Ovis aries: one gene and its partner. The protein of the gene in region 2 interacts with the protein of the main gene of each other region in a pairwise test. Links are inferred from orthologs where the notes say so. Each region holds a gene or a part of one and is shown on either strand. Other genes may lie near its edges. The genes, in order: LSMEM1 and LSMEM2.

The links.
Region 1: the proteins of LSMEM2 (region 2) and LSMEM1 interact in binary tests that used the Homo sapiens proteins (3 or more experiments, as listed by UniProt). The two-hybrid records come from large-scale screens. The link is inferred for Ovis aries from reciprocal best matches to the Homo sapiens genes LSMEM2 and LSMEM1.

The regions. Positions count from the first base shown.
Region 1 is NC_056057.1:57,453,902-57,456,925, forward strand, and holds the end of LSMEM1 (leucine-rich single-pass membrane protein 1), read right to left. Parts: intron 1,214-3,024; coding exon 1,083-1,213; 3' UTR 627-1,082; downstream 1-626.
Region 2 is NC_056072.1:50,135,174-50,139,046, reverse strand, and holds the start of LSMEM2 (leucine-rich single-pass membrane protein 2), read left to right. Parts: upstream 1-803; 5' UTR 804-3,873. Other genes in the region: SEMA3B (semaphorin-3B), read left to right, coding at 43-444.

The DNA of each region.
Region 1 (3,024 bases), on a different chromosome or scaffold from region 2:
GAATAGGTGAAACATCTTGTGCTTTTTTCATTATTTACTGTTACAAAATGTGTTTTTATGTATGTATATAACTTTAGAATAAACTCAAATGTTTTTAATGAACCCAAAATGATAGAACAATAATACATTTCACAGAACAGACTTACACAATATATTTATAGTAAACATTTTCTAAGATTCGTACTTTTAAGCTCATTTATATTGCAGCATGTCTAATTTCACAAACTCTGTGCCTTACCTTTTGTGCTGAAACAAGGCAGGTTCCAAATATTCCAAATATACAATTTCTCACTGCAACTTAATAAACTTATAACCTATAAACCCAGCAGATTTCTGCACAATTAATCAGCGGGTTACTGAAGGATTTTTTTCCTGTCGGAAAGCCAAAAACCTCATATATCTATATATAACTACATATCTCCTTTGTTCCCCACTTGAATGTAAACTTCTGTAGAATACAGTGGTTTGCAAAAAGCAACAGCTCAATAAACATAATTTGAATAACTCGGGCTCTCTCCTCTGGTCCCCACCCTACCATACGCACTTTACTATCAACAAACAGCTGTAGGCAAATAGCTCTGAGTCGATCCATCCCCCATCCCTGAAGAAGTAAGAGTCAAGTATAATCACCTGAGCAGAATCTCCTTTATTGAAAAGAATTATCACCTGATTCCCTTGAATACAAACAATTCAACAAATCCCTTAGGCTTTTCCGGGAGTTCATAAAGATACATGAGGGGCCATGAACTTTACTGGCCACTGTGACCTTATTTTGGTGACAAATCTTCTTTGGTAAAAGAAGCTGCATGTGCAGAGCCAAGTTCCCTTTCTCATCTACTGGTGTTTTTCCTCCATGCCTCCCACCCTTCAGCCCATGAAAGCTGAAGGACACTCCCACAAAGCAAGCCTCTTTCTGGCAGCTGCCCCCAGCCCCTCTTGCCTTGGAGTTGCTCCCATCTCTGTAATTCAAACTCAGTCTTTCAAGACCCACAGCAATACCCTTGATGGTTCTTAAACCATACACCCTTCCTGGACCGTGAGAAGCTCAGGTGTTAGCAGTTGCTCTTGGACGATTCATTTCTTTAGCTCTGGTCTGAGTCCAGCTGGTTGAGTCGCTTTACAATGATGCTGTTGATTTTCTTAAGATCATCTATGTCCTTTCCTTCAGCTGCTAGTCGTCTTGACACATCTTCCATCTTGTTTTCAGTTTGAACTTAAAAGTGAAAAATAGACAGCATTATGCTTATTTCCAGCGTGTTCCATCGCGACTCATCAGAGCCCATGGCGGGGTTCAGCTGGGGAGCAGAGATGCCGTCTTGGCAAATCCTCTGCTCCAATAGCCCATGCAGCCCTGAGGCCCGGGAGAGAAACTACTGAAGTTTCCTATGAAGTGAATTATTTTTACAACCCTTTTGTGCCAGACTTGACTACCTTTGGCAGCTCTGCTCAGATTCTGGCTGAGAAATACATTGTGTGAACAACCACAGGAAAACTGCCAGTGTCTGATTATGCCCAGAGAAGGGACTGTTGTCTCATTCTGAGACCTGTTCTCAGCAAAGGTTTTTCACTCATCATTTGGGAGGTGAGATATTTTGGGTTCCAACCCATAGGTCTCCTGGTTCTAAATTACCAGTCCATAATGAATGTATAATAATAATTCTCCCCAGCCACTCCGAGAGCAGAGAGACCATATTTCCAAAATAAATAGAGCCCCTGGGTATTGAGTAAGCCGGGGAGTGGAGCACTGTAAGGCCTACTTGGCAGTTAAAATTTCCAAGAAAGGCAGCACAAAATCAGTATTTAATACATGGACTCTGTATCATTTCCATTTCAGGCAAGTGTTTTCCACGATAGCTTTCAGGAACTAATGCAGGTGGTGACACACCACCGAGTTTGCCCAACAACTAATGTGGGAAGGCATCAGAGCTTCAGCTTCCAGCCTTGGGACAAACTGCTGCCCAGAAGCCACCTCCCCATTGTGTCTGAAAATTATGTTTGGATGAACTGTGCTCTAGAACGTGGGTGTGTTGGTGCAGAGCCAGACAGAAGAAATACCACTCGCTCCTGGAGAAAAGTGTGAAACAAGTAAATCCACAGCATGCGACATCCTTTCCTCTCTCTGGAACCTTCTACATGAGTCAAACACAAAAGGGAGTAGCAGGCATGGTTGGATTAAGTCTGTTCCACAATATATTAGCTCCAAATTAAATTCCAAAAGAGAAAAAGGATTCTATATGCAAAAACATTAGAAAAAAATCATATACTGACTTGCATTTTGGAAATTCACAAAAAGTAAAATAAAATACCTTGAGTATTACTAACCTAGCAATTCTCAAACTCACTAGACCATAGAACCCTTTTTAAAATGAAGGCAATACTTAATCACATCCCACACACCTCATATCTAACATTGCTTGGCCCTTGTAAACCTACAGAGGCAGGTAGGCATCCTGTGTAATCTACCCTTGCTGTCTGGTATTCCTCTTTAGAACAGAGATTGTAACAAAAACACAAGGTCCAATAGTTTAATCAATGTAATCAATGTAAAATAGCCTATTTCTCTTGCATAAAAATGCCAGATATAAGTTCTTACACTTCAGTTAAAATGATACAAATCTGCTCTCTCAGTGAGAGCAGAAAGGTTTCCTCTTCAAAGATGAGCACAGGCCAAGTTCATTTACAGAGGCCTGTAAAGAATGGTAAAGAATCCACCTGCAATGCGGGAGACCTGGGTTTGATCTCTGGGTTGGGAAGATGCCCTGGAGGAGGGCATAGCAACCCACTCCAGTGTTCTTGCTTGGAGAATCCCCATGGACAGAGGAGTCTGGCAGGCTACAGTCCATGGGGTCGCAAAGAATCAGACACAACTGAGTGGCTAAGCATGCAAGCACGTGCCAACTCTGGTCTTAGGTTGGGCTAAAGTTTATCTGCAAACCACAGGAAGCCTCTTATTATTACTACAAAAGGCAGTGGAGTGCCAGGAGTTCTGGAGGCAGATGGGCCAGAGTATGAATCCCAGTTCTG
Region 2 (3,873 bases):
GCCGTTCCCTAAAATCCTCGCCTCCCGCTGATCCACCGGCAGGTGCCTGCGGAGGAGCGGGCGGAGCGCTCGAGGAGGGGATTGCTGCTGCGCGGGCTACGGCGTGGGGACTCCGGCGTGTACCTGTGTGCAGCGGTGGAGCAGGGCTTTTCGCAGCCACTGCGTCGCCTGGCGCTGCACGTGCTGAGCGCAGCACAGGCTGAAAGACTGGCCCGGGCCGAGGATACTGCGCCAGTCGCCCCGCCGGGCCCCAAGCTCTGGTACCGGGACTTTCTGCAGCTGGTGGAGCCCGGCGGCGGTGGTGCGAACTCCCTGCGAATGTGTCGCCCGCAGCCCGCGCCGCGCCCACAGGTCCCTGAGTCACGGAGAAAGGGCCGCAACCGGAGGACACACGCCCCAGAGCTGCGGGCTGAGCGGGGCCCGCGCAGCGCAGCGGACTGGTGACTTGGCCGTCCCCACGCTGGGGACTGGGGAGGAGGCGGCAGGAGGGAGAGGGGGCGCTCAGACCCTGGGAGACGGCTAGGGGCCGGCGTTTCCTGATGGAGGGAAGACACCGACCGACAGGCCCTGGCCAAGGGGCAGCCATGCTGGCTTATTTATTAACAAGAGGATAACCCTTGAATGTAACCCCAATAGGGGCGGCCTAGGCTGAGCACAGGGTCCGGCTGGTCGGGAGGCAGCAGAGAAGCAGGGTTCCCCGGGTACTTGGGTGGGAGTGGTGCCCGGAATGCCCACCCTGGGAGAAGGACCACCTCTTTGGGCAATGAGCAGAAAGCTGTGAACAGGCTGGGTGGGTGGGGTGGGGCAGGCCGACTGTACTAATGCAATAAACACATTTTCAGCCAAAGCTGGAATGGCCCCAGCAGACAATTGCTGGTCTTAGTGTTACCGACCCAGGTTCTTGGACTCTTTAATCAATAGAAGTTGATAAGAGGCCAGATGAGAAATTCAGGCAAGGCTTCAAGGACTCATGCTGCAGAACAAGGGAGTGAAAATAAGCCACAGGTGCCCAACTAGCAACAGGTGCTCTCCCTTGCTTGTGCTGGGGGTGGGGAAGGAGGGCAGGAGGGGTGAGTTGGTTCCTTAAATGGGGTGAGGGTAGGGTCAGATCCATGGTTCAGGCAGTAGGGTGGCTTAGGTGGTCAGCCTGCCCCCTTGTGGTGGTGTGGCAATTGGTTTTCTGGTCTGTTTTTTTGGGGGGGTGTCTTTTTTGTATCTTGTTTATAATTTGCCCCAACCGCAGGTTTATATAGTTGCTTTTAGTTGCTTACAGCAGGATTCCCCAACCTCCAGGCCTAGGACTGACACTGGTCTGTAGCCTGTTAGGAACCCGACTGCACAGCAGGAAGTGAGTGGAGGGCAAGCCAGCGAGCAAAGCTTCTTCCTCTGCGTCTTTCCATTGGTTGCTTTACCAGCTGAAATCAACCCCATCCCTCCCATCTGGTCCCTGGAAAAACCTGTCTTCCATGAAACCAATCCCTGTTGCCCAAATGGTCAGGGGACTGCTGCCTTACAATCTCTCTGTAGTCCGTTGCTCCAAGAGATGTTTGTCCAGGTGAAGTACTACAGCATAGGGTCCCATGTCTGATTCCCCTCTAGGGGGTTCTACACCCTTTCTTCTTAAGGGTTAAGGGGTTGAAGTTCTCTTCTGAAACCGCAGATCCTAGCCTACCCTAGAGGTGCAGAAGTCCCTCGCTGACTGCTTTCGGGGACCTGGGTTCCCCTCAGCTGGAATCGGTTGAAATCCTTGAGCCATCCTGAGCCTTACTTGAAAACTGTTGGGACCTAGAAGACACAAACTTAACCAAAGGGTTAAACAGACAAGGGCCAAAAAGGAGAACAGTAAAAAGCCAGTAGAGCAGGGGTCACCAACCTCCAGGATCTAATGCCTTGACAATCTGAGATGGAGCTGGTGTAGTAATAGAAAAAAAGTTCACAATAAATGTAATGTGCTCAAGTCGACCTGAAACCATTCCCCTACCCCATGCCCACTGAAAAATTACCTTCCAGGAAGCCAGTGCCTGGTGCCAGAAAGGTTGGAGACTGCTTCACTCAAGGGTCTAGGAAGGGAAGGAACCAGGATAACTTTGACAGGGCTTCCCTAACTGCTGACCAGACAGCGAAGGCGACAGCGCCCCTGCCAAAATTGTGAAGCCATTGCTGCTTGGGTGTCTATTTAACTTTTCTCTTTGCTGTTGCATTGATTTAGGTGCAGCAGGAAGTGTTAGTTACCCCACAAATTGTGCCTTGTTCTGTCAGAAGGTAATCAAGGACTAGATGATTATCAAGAGGTAAATACATTAACCCAAGTAACAAGAGAGGATTAAGTCCCATTAAAGCTTGCTCTTGTTGGTTTTATCACAGAATTAAGCTGTCTGGTGAGATTTCTCAGTGTGGCTTCTTGATAGGGAAAGCTACCCCATGGAGCTACCAGTCCTGTGGCCAGCCCTAGGAAGTGAACATTATTATTTATTTAGGTATTCAGCGGTAGACACTTGGGATCTTTGATTTTCCTTGCAACGTGTGTGATCTAGTTCCTGACTAGGAATGGAACCTGGGCCTCTGGCATTGGGAGTGCAAAATCTTGGCCCACTGGACCACCAGGGAAGTCCCTGAAGTAGACATTGTTAATGCAGTTATAGGCCATAGCTTGGACTTTCCCCGCGGCTCAACCATAAAGAAAACTCCTGCCATACGGGAGACATTGATTCAGTCCCTGGGTTGGGAAGATCCCGTGGGGAAGGAAATGGTGACCGTCTCTAGTATTCTTGCCTAGGAAATCCCATGGACAGAGGAGCCTGGTGGACTACAGTCCATGGGGTTGCCAAAGAGTGGGACACCACTTAGCCGCTAAACAATAAAATAAAGCCTTGTGAATATCAAGTGCCCAGAAGCACCAATTTTCAATTTGTTGTTATAAGAAATGACCACAAGGTGGCAGCATTTCTCCCTGCCCAACTCTTGATTCCTTGGGCAACCAGAGCCTTAGGGGAAAAGTCCCATTCCTGGGTTGTAACTTAGAATGGGATGTGCCAGAAACAACACCCAAGGGCTTGTGTCTTCTTATTTCTTCCACCTTATCCTCCCCCACCCCAGACAAATCCAGAGCCCTGAAAACCGGCTACAGTGAGGGTGCTGAGGGTGCTCTTGGTAGGGTGAGTCTAAGGCAGAAGGTTGGAGGAGGGAACCCCTCAACTGGGAGACCTGAAAACCGGGTGAATTTACAAAGCTCGTCCAGCCCTGGGACTTTCCTGGCAGTTCAGTGGTTAAGACTCACACTTCCAGGGCAAGGGGCCCGAGTTCCATCCGTGGTTGGAGAACTAAGATCTCGCGTTCCATGTGGTGTGGCCAAGAAAATTGTTAAAAATAACTAAAAATGTCAGGGAAAAAAAAAAAAAAACTTCTAGCTCACAGAATCCACCATCCTTTGGGTACGCTAGGCTTGGCTTAGCTAGAGGAGGGTCTGACTGGATCTGGAGACTGTGGTCTTAGCGGAGCAGGCACTGCGGGGCCAAGGGAGGTTCTCTGATGACACAGCCTCCCTCGCCCCCTTAGCTTTACCACCCTCCAGCCTGGAGACCAGGCCTGCTCAGGCTTCAGGGCTGCAACACAGGCCAAGGTGCCAGAAGCCTGAAAAAAAAATAGAGTAGGCATTTCTTTTCTTTCTGTTAAACTTGTATTTTGGCATGTACTTGATTGGTCACTTAGTGGAGTTCAAAGTGTCCAGCGAAATGATCCAGTTACGCAGACACAGGCATCCTTTGTGTGTGTGCGCTCAGTTGTGTCTGACTCTGTGACCCCGTGGGCTGTAGCCCACCAGGCTCCTCTGTCCATGGGATTTTCCAGGCAAGAATACTGGAGTGGGTTTCCTCC